3 linked regions of the Nothobranchius furzeri genome follow. The protein of the gene in region 3 purifies or fractionates together with the protein of the main gene of each other region. This does not show direct contact. Links are inferred from orthologs where the notes say so. Each region holds a gene or a part of one and is shown on either strand. Other genes may lie near its edges.

Evidence for each region. The genes of interacting proteins can lie anywhere in the genome.
Region 1: the proteins of arcn1b (region 3) and cope purify together in Homo sapiens (affinity purification with mass spectrometry; 4 studies listed by BioGRID and IntAct, with this or other methods). This does not show direct contact. The link is inferred for Nothobranchius furzeri from reciprocal best matches to the Homo sapiens genes ARCN1 and COPE.
Region 2: the proteins of arcn1b (region 3) and copz1 fractionate together in Homo sapiens (co-fractionation; 5 studies listed by BioGRID and IntAct, with this or other methods). This does not show direct contact. The link is inferred for Nothobranchius furzeri from reciprocal best matches to the Homo sapiens genes ARCN1 and COPZ1.

Annotation. Positions count from the first base shown.
Region 1 is NC_091748.1:57,726,683-57,732,847, forward strand, and holds the start of cope (coatomer subunit epsilon), read left to right. Parts: upstream 1-2,692; 5' UTR 2,693-2,749; coding exon 2,750-2,851; intron 2,852-3,013; coding exon 3,014-3,076; intron 3,077-3,182; coding exon 3,183-3,283; intron 3,284-3,437; coding exon 3,438-3,590; intron 3,591-4,426; coding exon 4,427-4,480; intron 4,481-4,685; coding exon 4,686-4,767; intron 4,768-5,057; coding exon 5,058-5,213; intron 5,214-5,901; coding exon 5,902-5,970; intron 5,971-6,165. UniProt on the Homo sapiens protein: The coatomer is a cytosolic protein complex that binds to dilysine motifs and reversibly associates with Golgi non-clathrin-coated vesicles, which further mediate biosynthetic protein transport from the ER, via the Golgi up to the trans Golgi network.
Region 2 is NC_091755.1:25,754,315-25,760,391, forward strand, and holds the start of copz1 (coatomer subunit zeta-1), read right to left. Parts: upstream 3,474-6,077; 5' UTR 3,361-3,473; coding exon 3,343-3,360; intron 2,928-3,342; coding exon 2,859-2,927; intron 1,423-2,858; coding exon 1,341-1,422; intron 1,262-1,340; coding exon 1,170-1,261; intron 1,044-1,169; coding exon 988-1,043; intron 893-987; coding exon 815-892; intron 738-814; coding exon 686-737; intron 589-685; coding exon 550-588; intron 1-549. UniProt on the Homo sapiens protein: The coatomer is a cytosolic protein complex that binds to dilysine motifs and reversibly associates with Golgi non-clathrin-coated vesicles, which further mediate biosynthetic protein transport from the ER, via the Golgi up to the trans Golgi network.
Region 3 is NC_091753.1:20,845,934-20,851,537, forward strand, and holds part of arcn1b (archain 1b), read left to right. Parts: intron 1-3,622; coding exon 3,623-3,802; intron 3,803-3,927; coding exon 3,928-4,133; intron 4,134-4,216; coding exon 4,217-4,378; intron 4,379-5,604. UniProt on the Homo sapiens protein: Component of the coatomer, a cytosolic protein complex that binds to dilysine motifs and reversibly associates with Golgi non-clathrin-coated vesicles, which further mediate biosynthetic protein transport from the ER, via the Golgi up to the trans Golgi network.

The DNA.
Region 1 (6,165 bases), on a different chromosome or scaffold from region 3:
CTTATAAACAACTAAAATAAGAGAACAGCAACTGTTCTATTCTGTGATCTTTATTCTCCTAAAATCACTACCTGACTGACAAGGATTACAACCAACAGAAAGACACAAAGAGAAGCCTGGTAACTAAAAGGGTGCAGGTTGAAAAATGGCAAATCATCTCACCATTGACACGGCTAATGCAAGGTGCAGGTCCAACTCTGAATCTAAAACCCCTGGTTATAATTCATTTGACATGTCTGCCTGGGCTGTGAATGATAATGTATGGCTCTACCTGCCTGAGCCCTGCACAGTTGGACCATTCATTCACTCACACACACACACACACACACACACACACACACACACACACACACACACACACACACACACACACACACACACACACACACACACACACACAAAGGGCTTGTTATATGAAGCAAAACTACATTGTAAACACAGCAATGTGTTAAAAAAAACATATCACTGTTTACAACCCATATACAACCCGATCATTCCCTGCAGGCTTGGTTTGAATAAACTTTGGATTTGCCCACTTAGTGCATAGAAGATTATTAGGCGTTTAAAGCAAAGGGGATGATAATTAGTTTCTTTTTAATGGAGGGTTTTCTGAACACCCACCATAAGGAAAGCACATCTAACCTATAAAGTTGGTGTGGAACGTTTTCTGTTTAGGCAATTTAGACAATAAACATAATCTTGTTGCATAGTTTAGCTTTTATTGAATCTGACTCAGTTTCTCATGACAATCACTCAAAAATGTTTAAATGAATAAATGAAATGTTGCATTACTTTATTAAGTGCATTGCTTTACGTTCCACACTATTACAGAACAGTTCAATTGGGATATCAAACGTTGAAGGGATGGGATATCTTGTTCTGAGGTTTATCACCAGGTCTCATTTGAATAAGTTCGAAAATAAGTAAATATGTGGTAAACAGGGGGAATGGACCAGCTTTAAGTATAGATCACATAGTTAAAAATAATTACTCCACAGTATCTTCTTTTATTATAATTTAAATCGATCAGAACAGTCGTTTAAATGCTAATCTCGGGAAATTTAGCAGCGGGTCGTTTTTATGTGTTTGACCAATTTCCGTTAGGTGAACATGGCGTCCCTCAAATTAAGCTAGTCTCATTAACACCCACCGTTAACCTCTCGGAAACGTTGCTGCAGCAGCCTCGTACTGAATTACTCGGAGGTGGCGTGAGTTCAGCCCCCCTCCTTGACAACAAATCTTTGTTCGTTAAAGTTTGAGAAGAAGTTTAATTTAAAAAACCCGTGAACCGCTAATATCACCGGGAACATGAACTCACCTTTCTCTACGGTTCACCGAGCCACGGGAGCGATCCGCCAGCAAAAGTTGACAAATTAATCAGAGCAAAGTCACTCAAGACTTCTTCATCCTTGCCACAGAGGAAGTGGTTTTACAACATATTCACCCCACTAACGTTACTTTTGTTCGCCGAATATCCACTATACAAAAGCAGTTCTCCGCTGCTCTTTTGTTCTGCAACCAGGCGCAGAAGTGTGAATTATTAAGAGTGTTTTCGTCTCGCGGACACTCTGAGATCGGTTACAAGTTTTCTGTTGGCGTAACCAGACTCCCCCCGCCTACTTGGTCAGAAAAAAAGTTTCAAACTTGATGTCGTTCTGAACCAATGAAAGAGCAACGAGAGGAGCAGAACAGCCCAAACACGCCCAAAGTAAAAGGCTCTTTAGGTCCAGCACACCCACTGCCCCCGTTGGGGTTTCCAGTAATTATTCTCGTCCAGGTCCGAATCCCACGGATGAAGATTTCCCTGAGGAAATGATGCTAAGGGAACAATGAACAGGAACCGTGGGGAGCAGTTTCTAAATCACCAGCAAACATGTGGCCCGTTCATTTTTGTGACATTTTTTTGGCACTTTTACTTATATTTGTAAATATCTGACAAAATAGAGCATTTAATGAGAGCATGCCTATTAACTATTACTCCTGGCTAAAACAAAAAGGAAAGTACATATCTCCGGGTGTTTTCAAGGCATGGGAAGTTTTTTAACAGCAGTTTAATGAGGCTGGCGGAAATTCCCTATGTCATATCCTTATTTTATTGTTCACACATCACTTTTTTTAGATCTGATAAATGGGCCAGATCATTAAATCATCAGCTCCAAAATTGAAACACAAGTATCTATCTATCTATCTATCTATCTATCTATCTATCTATCTATCTATCTATCTATCTATCTATCTATCTATCTATCTATCTATCTATCTATCTATCTATCTATCTATCTATCTATCTATCATCTATATCTATCTATCTATCTTGAAGCGCCCTCTTGTGGTTAAACGCGATAAGTCAAAATGGCTTCGTTCAGCTTTTTTTTTTTGCAGTGTTTGAACTTGATTCCTTTGAATTAATAACAATTAATAACACACTAATTAGAAATATAGGACGACAAAAATATTTACTTAAAATATATTTTAAAGTTAATTTTAACATAATTTGTGCCCAGTATAACTCTGCAATACAAGTATAAAATAATTTAAACATTATCCATGAATAGATAACGCCTAGTTTAAACATTATACATGAATAGATAACGCGCCGAGTCCACATTAAGAGGGGACAAATATTTTCTTCATGTCATTTTCGGTTCTTAGTTATTTTTGTTTTCTGAACAGCATTTCCCAGAATCCTTTGTAAAAAAGCAGGAAGCCTACGTAGCTTTGCGACGTGTCCGGAAGCTCATTAGCCAACATGGCGGCGCAACAGGGTGATGTTGATGAACTGTTCGATGTGAAAAATGCTTATTATATCGGTAGTTACCAGCAATGTATTAACGAAGCTCAGAAAGTGAAGGTAAGTGACGCATTTCCATTTATTTAAACGCTCGTTTTGTCGCGTTATTTATCTGTCAGTGTGGTTAACAGAGCAATTGAGCTAATGGGCTAACAACAACGACTACTCTTAATATTCTTGTTACTGATTTTGGTACTTACGTCTTGTGTTTGGTTTTTAAAGCCTTCGTCACCAGAGAAGGACATCGAAAGGGACATGTTTTTGTACAGAGCCTACATTGCTCAGGTACGTGTTGGTGGGGGATCAGCCTGATCTGAAGAGGCAGTGGACGTTATTGCTGACAGACAAAAATTCACCCTCTCACCGGAGGTTTTGTATTTCTTTGTTACAGAGGAAGTATGCTGTTGTTCTGGATGACATCAAGGCCAGCTCTCCACCTGAGCTGCAAGCTGTGAGGATGTTTGCAGAGTATTTGTCCAATGAAAGCAAAAGGTACAAGCATGCTTACACAATGCTCATTCATTTTGCCCCTAGCAACACAAACTATTTATATTAGTTAACCTCACCCTTTTGTGTAAAAATTGCTGTTCCAGTTGATTTACAAATTCATCTCTTGAGTATATTTTTACTTATTATGTTTGTTCAGGGATGTTATTGTTGCTGATTTGGACAAAAAGATGTCAAAGAGTGTGGATGCTGCCAACACCACCTTCCTGCTCATGGCGGCCTCCATCTACCACCATGAGACCAACTCTGATGCTGCTCTCAGAACGCTTCATCAAGGAGAAAGTCTGGAGTGGTAAGGGGGAATCCAGATTTATGTTTAAAGAGCAAGCCACGCCAAATCACCATTTTTTTTTTTGCTGATAAACTATATAAATGAGTGATTGGGCTGTAGACAAATGTAGTCAATAATTCGGCACTTTAGTGCATCTTAGTTCAAATTTAAATATTCTGCTTAAACCTGTCAGTGATGCACCATCGTCAGCTAAAAACTCGCACTACATTTTAATTTAAATCTGCCATCTCTATGGATAAGAGGTACACTATGATGTTAGATGGTAGATTATGATGTCACAATGTCGTGAGTGTGTATTTGTTAGTGGCTCCGCCCTCTTGTTCTGCTAGGCAACAGCATTTGTTGCATTTTTCAAACAGGAAGAGTGAGTTGAGTAAGAATCTGATGGGGGGTGACTTGCTCTTTAAGTCTGAATAGGATGATGCTTAGGATTCAAGGTTATTTCATTTTAACATATTACTCCAAAACTATGGAGCATATTTATGTGCTCTATTTAAATATAGAGAATATAAATATTCATTTATATAAATATTGAGAATATTAATAGAATAGCGTCTTTAAAATCATAGTTTATTCTAGGAAATTCTCTTGGAGTTTAATCTTACATTGTTAGAAAAATAGGTTAAAAGTAAACATTTATAAAGCTGCTTCATGGATTTGTGTTAAACGATAAAGAAGTGCAATTAAAAATGTATGCTTACAAATTTAGCATTCTGATTAATATAATTAAAAATACAAGAGTTGTTCTTTTTATTTTGTGAACTTTTAAATGTGTGGTTGGATTGTTTTATGGTTAAAAATATCAAACTGAGCATAATTCTGTGTTTATTTGTCAGTATGGCCATGACCATTCAGGTGCTTCTCAGTCTGGATCGTGTTGACCTGGCGAGGTATGGAGTAACTGTTTCACACCCTCAAAAATGTGTTTTCACGTACACACTAAAGATTGTTTACTAGTTGTATATGAGCTTTGATTATGGCTAACAGAGAATCTGCACATTATGACTCAAATTGTTTAATTTCTACATGACCTAATGGTCAAAATTAGCTTTTGGCTGTTTAATGAGGTATTTTGCTGCTAATTATTTATTACAGGAAAGAGCTGAAGAAGATGCAGGAGCAAGACGAGGATGCAACTCTAACCCAGCTAGCCACAGCCTGGGTTAATATTGCTGTGGTAAGAAATAAATATGAATTGTGTATGATTCATAAGTGAATGATCAACCACAAACTATTTGCTGTTCTATTAACTCTTGATGAAGCAAGAATTATTATTAGAGTGATACCACAAAATGTCAGCATTAATATATTGTGATTGTTATTTAGTTGGAACAAAACAAATTCATGCCTCCTCATCCAGTAAAGTCAGACGTAACAGGGTTCTTTACCACTAATATCATCTGAAAACCACAAGCTTCAGATGAAAATAAATAAACCCGTGTTGCTTTTGTGATTGCCTTGTTCCAGGGTGGAGAGAAGCTGCAGGATGCTTACTACATTTTCCAAGAGATGTGTGACAAGTACTCGTCTACTCTGTTGCTGCTTAATGGCCAGGCAGCCTGTTACATGGCGCAGAATAAGTGGGAGGAGGCTGAAGGAGTGTTGCAGGAGGCTCTTGATAAGGTTAGAGGACAGCAGTTCTGTCTCATCCTATCTGATGAGAGGAACTGGTTTATTGAATATTAACTGAATGTCTGTCAGTGTACCAGCAGATGGCAGCACATACTTTAGTGTTCAATAAAGCTCTTATTCACCTGCAAAGAATCAGTTATTTCACAGCAAAAAACTCATTTCCAAATGTTCGATTAATATAATAAATAAATCTTTAGTTTGGTTGTAAATATACGTTTTTTCATCTCAGTATTTATAAATGTGCTTTAATGTAAACTCTACAGCTTTGCAGTGTCTTGTGTTGGTCAGTGTTGATAAGTTTAATTTTTACAAAGCATCAGTTATTCATTGATATTCTCTCACTGTACAGGCAGAACAGGGTGTCGTGTAACTTTCAGCTCTGACTTTTCGATAAATAAATGATCCAAGGGTTAACTGCCTCCATAAAGAGAGGTTATTGTCCGCTTGTATAATCTCATTTTCACGTTTGTTTGAGAGGCAGAAATTTGGATTAGACAGGATCAGAGATTCATTCAACATCTTGTATAGATGAGAGGGGGAAATTGGTCATTTTCATTCAGATTTACCCTCAGAAAACACATTTAGGATCATTTTATCTCATCTTGTCTAGATTACACAAACTTAATGAAAATAAGCCTCCAGCTCTGCTCACATTGTATCTGTTTTTCCTCCCTATCAGGACAGCAGCCACCCTGAAACGCTGATCAACCTCATAGTGCTGACCCAGCATCTGAGTAAAGCTCCTGAGGTGAGACTTTGGACTCAGAAACCTTAAAAGCCCTTTCTTTTTAAAATGCATCAGTCGAACAAACTTCACCTGAAGTACATCAAACTTGTTTCCCCCGTGACCTTTGAAGCTTAAATGAAACATACACATTCATTCAACTATAGTAATCTGTTTTTGAATGGTTTTTAATCATCCCTTTGACACACATGCTAGTTT
Region 2 (6,077 bases), on a different chromosome or scaffold from region 3:
CATGCTCAACGTTTAAAAAAAAAAAAGGAACATGAAGTTATAAGGTAAGCATCAAAAAAGTTACAAATAGTTGCTAAAATGCTTTTAAAAATGACCATAGTGATATAATTGAAGATAAATAGTCTAGGTCTAATTAATCATTCTAATTGATTGAGTGAAAGCCAAATCATAACCATAAAACAGAGACTGGACACAGATATTAATCATGGCCATAGGAGAAATGGCGATGGGCAGTTTCAGACCTCTTAAATGACAACATTAATCAAGAGGAGCTCACACTCGCTCTCTCTCACACACACTCCGGGAGAGAGAGATGGGCCTGAGTGAAAATGAAAAGACAAGGACCACTACTGGCTATCCACCAAATAATTAGTTATCACACACTCACACACACTATTTGACAACCTGAAGGCGAGTGAGAAAGTAAAAACAGGAGAATGATGCAATAACAGCTTTTACACTCTGAGGTAAAGACTTAACAATCAATAAACTAATGGATCTTTTAAACTTTATTATAAAGACAGAATCAGTGTAGAGGTTTTTTCTTACCTGGGTGACTGTCTGCTCTGTCAGTGGTACATCATCACCCTACAAGAACAAGTATTACAACAGGTTTACAGCGTGCGCACACACACACATCAACACTTTCACACCGTGTTGAACATTTGTGATGAGAAATACTCACTCGAAGAGCCACGCGATGCACAACCTGCTGCGGGTCGCTCTCCAGGACCACGCTGTAAGTAACCCAAAACACCACAGTAAGTATAAAGAAAAAGTTTTTAGTTAAAGATCATTGGTGGTTCAAACTCACCCCCCATCCACTATTTCATCCACAGCCAAGAAGAGTCCCTCCATATTCTCCAACAGAGCTCTCCTCTCAACATTTTTTCTGTAAAATTAAAGAGAAATAACTCAATCCCAATCTGAGAGATTAATGGTTTATAAACATTTGACATTTTGTGCTAAACTGCTACCAAGACATACCTCAACATCTGACTGAGGGAATCAAATAGGCAGTTTAGAACAGCCATGAGCATAAGCTATTGAAAAAGAACAAATTTCAACAAATAGTAATTATGTGAAAATATTAGCAGTTAAAATGTGACTGTTTTATCTGCTATAATTAAGAAAAGGCTGACTTTTCATGAAAGTTCTTTCAGTTTTACCTCATTTTCATGTGAACTTCCGATGACATAAAAGAAGAGATCTATATTGCTCTTGTAGACAACAGTTAGGCCTTCCAGTAATGCAATCTCACCTACAAACAAACAAATAATACCATCACATTTTAGTCATGTACTGAAGCAAACCAATTACCTTTAATATGCTTAGCTTACTGTCTGTTCTGTGTGTTTTGTTGAATATGTTCTTCTCAAACGCCTTTTGCTCCTTCACCGTCGGATATGTGTCGTCATAATACTGCAGACACACCAAGAAGAAAAGTACATTTTAAAACAATTCAAATAAATCTATTATTTTACATTAAAGTATATAAATAATGTGGTACGTAAAATATTCTTCATTAAAATAGGAAACATTAAGTTTCTAAAAGGTCTGACTTCCCTATCGATTCTGTGACACTAACCCCGGGTTTCCACGGGAGCCGTCAGCAGCACGTTACTGCAGCAGCACGTCTTGCTCGCGTAAGCTGCTGCTTGGCCCTTCCCACGAGACGCGAAGCAGCAGGGGAGCAGCTGTCACCGACCGAGCACGAAGTCACACGAGTGACTTCGTCAGTAAACACAACAACAAGCAGGAGAAAACTACAACATGGTTTGTGTTTTATGTTCTGTCCGTTTTATAATCGCCAATACGGACCTGAAAAACAAAGGAGACCACTAGCTGTGTGATAACTTCTCACGGGGACGCACAGTTAGTAACTGTTTTTAAAAGTAAAGCAACCGGAAGGCAGTACGTTCTTTATTCTGAAAATCTCGAGAGCTTCTCCCCATTTCCGCGTTCGATTTCCTGTCTTTCCTTCCCCAAAAATGTCGAACTTGACCCGTTTCAGAGGCGTCGCGCGTAGAAAATAGAACCGGCGCGTAAAGGCCGCGACATGCTGCTCCTGAGACGCGGCCGACTCGCGCTGCTGACGGCTGCCGGCGGCTCCGGTGGAAAAGGTTCTGTTGACCACAGCGGTTCCTATCAGCAGCTATGACGTGCTGCTGCAGTAACGTGCTGCTGACGGCTCCCGTGGAAAGCCGGGGTTAGCCAAACGGTTTCTACTACGGAAGCAAACATATTTAAAACCTAGTAACATAGTTTTACATTTAAAACTTTGCTTCTATGATTAACAATATTTAAAATTATGATATAAAATTACAAGGATTGAATAATGTGAATTATACTGAGTCAGTAAAAATAAACTTGTTTTTAAACAAAACTTTAAGGTGTGGGGGTAGGAGCCATCAGCTTTGACCATTTTTAGCAATAAAAAGTAAATAAGATACATTTTAAAAATGAATACATTAAATTAAAATTAAAATAGTTAACCATATAAATCAGGAACACCTTAAATTTTAAACAGACCAACAGACCAAGGAATAACGCCTGTAATTTGTCTAATTAAATTTCTCTATCTAATTACACAAAAGACTCCTGTGTTTTTTTTTAGTGCTTTGCAATCACCACCTTCAAATACATCTAAAAACTGTTTGTGTACAGCTCAAATCTATTATTATTAAATAGGTCATGAAAAATTTATGAAAATGTATCAGGTGTGTTGAATAATTAACTTATTGCTTTTGGGGGGATCTAATCCAAGTGAAAAGCTGTAATATTGACATTAAATCAGACTTTGCGTGTTTGAAGAAAATATTTAAAGTAAAAAAGATGAATCAGGATTAAAGTCATACCTTGGCATAAAGCCTGTCTCCGTCATTGTCCAGAATCAGAACAGCTTTGACCGTATACAAAGAGGGTTCCTGTGAAGACAGCAGTACAGTGCGTTGTGTTTAAACAAACATAAAGGACTAGAAATTAAGGTTTGTAGTAAGAAGGATAGTTTAAGAAAAATGGCCGTGATTAGGCCATAATAGGATCGTTTAGTCTTAAGACATGTATCAAAAACGGTTGTAAAAATGTTGTCATGACGGTATTCTTGTTCATGTCAGGTGGAGGACATGACACTTCCACATCAGCAACAAACGGACACATACTTCCTCGACGCTAACTAGTTAGCTAACACTGTAGTTAGCTCTCTGTCAAGTTAACTCGGGAGGATGCTAAATAAGCAGCATTTCGCCTAAATTATGAAGACAATTTAAAAAAATGTTTACACTACGAGGTTAAACGCTTCACTAACATTATGCCGTCATGAAAAAATAAATTAGATATTACCAGGATAGGCGAGTCCATTTTCTTTCTTGTTGGCAAACCAGCTACACGGCTAACACTAGCCTACAATCAATTCCAGCATCTTACGTCGTGCGTAAGAGCAAGGATTACGTCACTGTTGACTTTTTTTAAACAAACTTTATTAACAACTTTATAGACAAAACAGTCTTCATCATGTGTGAATTTTTTTTTTACCTGAAAACTGCACAGATTGAACGGAGTTTGAACAACAAAAATTTATAAAATTATAAACTTCAATGTTAAAAAAATTTGGGGAAAAATAAGCACAAAAATAAATGTTATAAAAACATAAAACAAATCTGAATAGCCTTTGTGTTTAAATTGAACATTTGAATATTTTAGATTAAATATTTCAAACTGTGGACAAAAGAAATGACTGACTAATTCTTGACCAGTTTCAGGGACTTTGTAAATGCACTTATGTTATTATTCCAGTTAGTACATTTTGTAATAATCATAAATAAAAATCTGCATTTGTGAATACAGTGTTGGATTATTACAATCAAACTATCAATCAAAAATAAAAACATTTTAATTCAAAATAATAGTACCCAATTTAGTAGCAACTTCGAGTACATCAATGCATCTAATGCAGACTAAAGAGCAACGTGTTTAATGTTTTGATGAACAATATAAAAAAGGATGTGGTTTTACAGAAAAGGGTGCAACCATAGCTGTCCTCTTCTCCATAAATCGAAAAGCTGAAAAGTCACATAACGGAAAATAAAAGAAAGTCACTTTAAAGTCTTAAAATCTTTCATAACATTTACTTTGCAATGATGTGACACAAAATGATAAACGTAAATCCAAATCTGCATTTTATTTTACTGTCACTCAATAAGCACCGTTTAACAAGCTTACTAAAATTGTTTCACCTTTAACATTGTTGACTTTGTTGCTTTTTGTAAATGGAGGATAGTGTTTAAAAAATTAAATGCAATTCTGTAGCTTTGCAACAAAGTTATAAGTTTAGCATTTCAGACTGAACTTTTTTCTTTCATCAAGTTTTCACAAACTTGATTTCTGTAACGTAAAAAGCTAAATATGTTTTTCTAACATCATGATCTTATTTCCTTGCTTTTGTTAAACCAGAAAATTAGAACCTAATCCTTCTTTTTGATGTCCATAGGAACCCTTTCAAGCATCATTAGAACAATATCTAACTAAAACTTTTGTCTTTAAAATTAAAGGTTCCTCCACTCATTAGCTGAAGCTCTGTGTCACACAGCGGTTGCTGCATTGAAAAACATCATACGAGCAATCTCTCCATTTACAACCCGTTTTATGTTTCTCGTTCTCATCAGCATCTTTTTTTACAGGATCCTCCCACATTTAACCACCTCCAATTATCTTACTTCCCACTTCTGGGAAACTTTTGGAAAAGCAGTCTGATGGGGATTTCCCTCTATCTCAATCCACAAATTACATCATTGTGTGGCCTTACAGTTACCTTCTGTTACTCTTGAGTTCCAAAATAATCATGGAAAGAGATCTCTTGGCTTGTAGAGAGGAATTAGAAGATCCAAACTTAGTTTGTACACATTTGTAACAGAACTGTAAAATCATGAAATGTTGCACAATATCACAGCTATTTCAAAATCCCCAAACCGAGGAGGAAGCCGCCCTGAAGTTGGTTCCCAGATGTCACGTCATTTTTCAAACATATATATGAGTTTGAGATGATTTCAGACAGTATAACTGTGGCTGGTGGAGAGGATGAGGGGTTGTGAAGCTGTACAATGAGCTTCTGGCAGCAACCACAGCAGTTAGCAGTTCCCTTTCTCAGAACCAAGAGCTCCTTTTATCAGCATCAAGCAGAGCTTCCGCCAGCCAACATCCTCCTTTCCCTGCCTTCCCTCTCTGCGTGTGCATTACCAACCAGCCTTCGCATGCTATGAACATACATGAGGCACATGCACAAATGCATACACACACACTGACACAAAACATTAGCACACAACTAGATAATAAATTGTCATATGACAGTGTATTTTTCTGTTTGTCTAATGTAATTTTAATAATTTGGGGTTACAGAAAATTCAAAAAATAAATGAAAAATAATCCAGCGATGCAACCTACTGTTGCAAAATGTTATCAAGATCAGAACATCTTGAGATAACCCTGCGTCTTATTGAGACATTCATTAGAATGATGCTGCATGTTCAGGTTCCTCAATTGTCTCACTTTCGGAGCGTTGCTACCGCCATGAAAGCATCAGGAAAACCCAGTTATGATTTACCCTCTGTCTCTTTGCACTGCATGGTGAATGTTGAGCTAGAAAAACATCTTTTTGAACCTTTCAGATCACAACAAAGCTACTTTTTTTTAATCAAACTCATCCACTCTTTTTTTTCTTCTTCCCAGAAGTTGACTCCGAAAGAAAAATCCCTTTTACAATACCAAAACCTTCTGCACAAACCCCATTTTGTCTGGTAGTGAAGTGGTTTTTCCACTCATGTCTGATAAAGTTTTTCTGAAGGATAAAATTAAACCAAATGTGCCATAATTCCTCTATCTTTAAAGGACATAATAAAAGCTTGGAAATGTTCTATCTCTCATGGATGATGTAAACATGAAACAAACCATGTTTTGGGAATGGTAGGCTCAGATTTAACACCGTCTTGTATAGACGTCTGGTTCCATTAGGAGGATTTAAGCCTGTGTGCGTCAACTGTAGGCTGTTGCCAACCAATGTGCTTGCTCTGTTTTTCAAGTAA
Region 3 (5,604 bases):
TCTGATCATTATCAGAGTTAAAGATCACGTCCATCTGCTCCTGTGCACTGGAGTCCTGTCTGTCCGTCCTCTCCAGGCTGCTGTGGTTTGGTTTGATGGCGTTAGAGAAAACGTTTCTGTGACCGTGGAGAGTTGGACGTCTCATCATCGCTGCACCACTTGGTCTAAAGCAGTTCGTTTTCCTACTGTTGCATCAGAATATCATCAGATATGAAGCATAATAAACAAACAACGCTCTTTATGCTTATTTATATTTATGAAGTAAAACGGGGAGAAAAGCTAAGTCGGACAGTCCTGTTTTACTCCCAGTCTGGTTTAAAAAGCAGCTTTTCCACAGTTGATGGGATTTAATATGTGACACTTTTAGACTAACTGGTTAATGAATCCTTTCCCTTTTGGTTAACCAAACTAAAATATTTACTTTTTATGAACACATCTTTCTTGGCTTTAGAGATCTGAGCTTAGCCCTTAACATCACACATTTAACATCAAATCCAAAGTTTAGAAACATATCTCATCTTATTTTATACTCCAGGCTCCATTAACCCAAGCATGGACCATGCTATAGCTAGCATTAGCCTCCCTGTAGCATGATAATACACCAGAAAATGCTCGTCATCGTTTTTATGTTGTTGCTGTTTATTCTCTTTATAAGGATAGGTGATTACTTTTATCAGGTTATGTATCACATGACACACTCTGGGTGTGGTGTAGCTAGTATATTGTGTGTTTACACAGGTTCCTTCACTCTTTAGCTTCTACTCTACAAAATGAGACTATCTGAGAGCTTTGACCCCGGCTACAGCTGCGTGAGTCTTACTAACGCCTAGAAAACCAGGCCACACGCTCTTTAGAGCACATTTTGGCTTTCAAAATGATTTGAAGCATTCAAACTTAACGGATAAACTAACTTAAAAATCAAAATGTTTCAGTAAAATATTATAATAGTAAGCCAAAGCAAATAAAAAGGCACTAAATATTTGTTTCTGTCACATTTTGCTGGTGTGGAGACCTAAATAACACGAAGTCAGCAGCTATGTTGGGGTTTGGTTTTAAGGCCCGCTGTGTTACTATGGTAACAGAGTCCTAGCTCACCTGCTCCAGGTGAAACGTTCAGAATTAGGGTTTGTATAAACTCCATCGCTTTGTTTTTGAATGTCTGACTCCTAATTGCTTCGACAGTATTTATGCCATATTTCTACCAGATCCTGTAAGCTTTTAAATAAATCGGACAATCAAATTGCAAATAATTCCACGATCGTCCTTAACCGTCTGGGGTCCATGGACGCGTATCCGCGTCTTTTGAACAGGTCTGATTTGGGACGCTGTAGCAGCAAGACTCCGCCTCCCTGAGTTTTGGTTTCAATTCAGCTTTAAAAAGGAGATTATAAACTACACCCCAGATTTTAAACTTTGTTAATAGGCAATGTAAAAGCGGAGTTGTGGGCTCGACACACGGGAGGCGATCCGCGGCAGCGTGCATGTCTCATTGAACATGAATGGAGGAGAGGCGATGTCGCCTCCCGTGTGTCGAGCCCATTAGACTAAACTAAAAAAACGACCTATTTTTAGACAATCTGACAACTTGTCAAAACAGCAGAGGGAGAGGGAATGTGCTTGTGAACACAAAAACATGAGATCCTTTTGCTGTTGGTGGAAGTCTCACATATTCAGTTGATAAAAAGCATCATTATGTAGCTGAGAGAGAGAGGAAGGCCGCACGAGTAACGAGATGTGCGCACAAAGGAGCCGCTTCGCGGGGAAAGTATAGTGGCGCGAACGGAGTAACGACAAACAATTAGACAGATATTGACGGTAAACTTGGTATTTTGGAGCGATCCGGACAGATCTATTGTCTCTGCAGTTTAGTCAGCTTTTATTAGGCTTTAATAAAGGATGATGAGAAGGATAAATGTCCACCAGGCAGTTCAGATAGTACGGCTGTTTTTTGAACTGGAAGAAGAGGAAGTGGACGGACACTCACAGCCAGAGTCTGAGGCAAATAGCGAGGATGTTGATGAGGATGTGGCAGATCCATCCTTCCTCATAGAAGAGTTGGGTCATGATGAGGTGGAGGATGAAGGCAGAGATGCAGCTCCTCGGAGATCCAACAAGAAGAGTGGACGGCGCAGCTGACAGAGCCACTCTTCTCTCTCCAAAATGCATGTACATTATTGCCAAATTAATAAAATGAGTATAAATTCAGATAGTCCAGGTTGTCCTGAAAATAATGATACCCCATAAGGCAATATTTATTGTTTTTATTAGAAAATACAAAGGAAAACCAAAATGAGTCAAAAATGGTGATTTACACCCTGGACCCCAGAGGGCTAAGAATTGTTTTTTGTTATTTGATATATGTATTCATATGTTTTATAAATGTACAGTCTAGATTACCATTCTAAATTATAAAAAAAACATTCGTCATAAATGTTTGTTGGTTTCACAGTAAAATAAACAACTTTTTTCCTATTCAGATTTTATGTTTTTGAGTGATTTAAGGTCTAATATGCAACCCCTTTATGTCCAAATATAAAAAATAAGTATAAATTCATAAAGTCCAGGTTGTGCTGAAAAGACTGATACCACATAAGGCAGTGGTTATGGCTTTTATTTTGGAAATACAAAGGAAAACTCTAAATTAGTCAAAAACGGCAAATTACGCCCTGGACCCCAGAGGGTTAAAGGCCTTTAGGAAAAGTTTTGATCACACAACCTAACCACGATGCTTTTACTCGGGCACAAACCGTAACTGTAATAGTTTAAAGCAGGGGTCCCCACTCCTGGTCCTGGAGGGCCGCTATCCTGCATGTTTTAGTTTGAACTCTGCCAGTTCAACACACCTGATTTCAATCAGCAGCTAATTAACAGGCTTCTGCAGAGCCTGATGAGCTGCTGCACAGGGGTTTCAACCACTGAGGCCTAGTTCACACGTAGCCGTTTAAAAAAAAAAATGAATATCCGCCCCTCCAAAAACTTGCATCCACACCACCTCGTTTACAAAACAAAACTCTGTCCACACGTACCCGGATAAATACGTTGTTAAGGACATGCCAGACCTGTAGGCGGCAGTACTTCCCCCGTTCTTAACCTCGTCCTTCGTCTGTGGTCTTCCGCAAGGAGCAGTAATTCCGCTTGCAAAAACAAACAAGCAGAAAGCGCTTGGACAATTGATAAAGCGAGCGCAGCTCTGAGGGCATCCATGCTGTCGACTAGTGTAAACACAGGTCGCACACGTGATGTCAGCAGTTTTTTGTCGCGGAAAGTGACGTTGCGGGCCTTAAAACTCCGGTTTTGTCTGTCCACACGCAGACACCCAAAACGGAGAAAACGCAGATCTTCACTTTGGCCGGAGTTTTTAAAAAGATCCGTTTTCGTGTGAAAAAACTCCGTTTTCGTGTGGATGACAGGCCAAAACGTAGAAAAATATCTACGTTTTGGCAGATCCCCGGCTACGTGTGGACAGGGCCTGAATCAAGCCTGTTGGAGCTGAAAACCCACTAAACCTGCTGGATACCGGCCCTCCAGGACCAGGATTGGGGCCCCCTGGTTTAGTGTCATTCTGAAGTGTCTTTGTAAAAGTGTTTACCGTTTCCTTCACCCGTTTGCTCGGCTCTTCCAGATCCCAGAATACTGTCGCGTGCTGGAGGAGAGTGAAATTTCGGAGCACTGTTTCGACCTGATCTTTGCCTTTGATGAGATCGTGGCGCTCGGCTACAGAGAGAACGTGAACTTGGCTCAGATTCGCACCTTCACAGAGATGGATTCCCACGAGGAGAAGGTTTTCCGTGCTGTCAGAGAGGTGAGGTCACACAGACATGTTGAATTGTATTTAGTTGAATTAGAGAGGCGGAGAGTCCAGGGTGAGTGTGATTTGAGTTAGAATTGGGAAAGAAGACAGGACTAACTGTGCTGGACCGTCCTCAGACCCAGGAACGGGAAGCCAAGGCAGAGATGAGGAGGAAGGCCAAGGAGCTGCAGCAGGCCAGGAGAGATGCTGAGCGTTCTGGGAAGAAGGTGCCAGCGTTTGGAGGCTTTGGCAGTGCAGGAATGAGCAGCATGTCCTCGGGCTCCGTCATCACAGAAACCATCGTCGAGCCTGAAAAACCCAAGATCACACCAACTCCAGTCCGGTATCGGGCTTCCGCTGACTTCTTTCACAGCATCTGCTCTTTCTTCTGGTTTCTTTGTGTCATTATTGTTTTAATCCATCCAGATCAAGTGGACCAAGCAGAGCTCTGAAACTGGGCGCTAAAGGGAAAGAGGTGGACAACTTTGTTGACCAGCTGAAGTCTGAAGGTGAAACCATCATTCCTTCAACAGGGAAGAGAGGCTCAGATGTGTCTAAGGCTCTGCCAGCACCTGTCAATGTGGAGAGGTATGCACTCATCATGGCTAGGGATGGGTATACCTTTGACATTTGAATCGATTCGGTACTAATTCCCGGTACCTACGAATCGATACCGGTACTTAATGGTACCAATTTTCGATACTTTTCAGTGTTTATTATTTTAATTCTCTTTTATAATTAAATATATATTTTTCCCAATTTATAACCATATTTGATAAATATCACGATAAATAACATACAACTGTTTGTATTTTAACATCGTCCTTGTAGTTTTATAAGCTGATAATTGAACTGAGGCAAACATCTTTACTGTGAACTAAATTTACTGTGTATCTTCATTCCCTTTGCCGTCTTTTTTTCATTTGATTTTTCCTACTGGGAAGTTAGAATTTCCGAGGAGAAAGCGAACGCACCATTAGATGATAACGATAGTGGCATAGGAAGCTAACATATCAAGCTAACGTTATCTTAAACAGTTTAACTGCTGGAGCAGATTAAAACGATGATGCCTCACACTTAGATCGTTGTCACTGGTTTCATCTTCACCCAATCACCCGTCGCATTTAGTAAAGTGAAGCCAAACTTTAGAGCGTGTTCATGTTCTTCTAGTCGGAATTTCGGAGTTCCGAGGAGAAAGCGAACGCACCATTAGTGAAACGGAAGCTAACAAATCAAGCTAACGGTATCTTAAACATTTTATTTACCTACCAGAGCAGATTAAGATGAGGATGTCTCACTTAGATCGTTGTCGCTGGTTTCATCATCACCCAGTTAGCCATCACATTTAGTGAAGTGGACCCAAGCGTTAGCGTGCCTTCTTTCTACCATGCTGCTCTGTTTACAACTCGCTCGCAGCGACCAACGACATAACGCTCTTGCACATGCGCAGCTGTCTTAGCAAGTTCTCGTTGTGAAGGACGGGCACCGAAACGAGGCACCGTTTGAAATGACGTGAATCGGTGCTCGGTCGGTACTGTGGAATTCGATCGGTACCTTAAAAAGTACCGAATTTGGTACCCATCCTGATTTTAATGCTTTCTTTTGGGTTTTACAGCTTCTCAAAGTTTGTGGATTTTCACATATTAGCAGAAACACCAACGTTGCCCTGTAGCTGGAGATTACCACACTGAAGTTATAAAAAGAGACCCTGATCTGATGCTGGAGCTTACATCTGGATGTCCATGATATAATGTTGTTTTTATTTAAACCCGACTGCTTTGATCTTTATTTACATCTGTGTGGCTGTGTTTTCT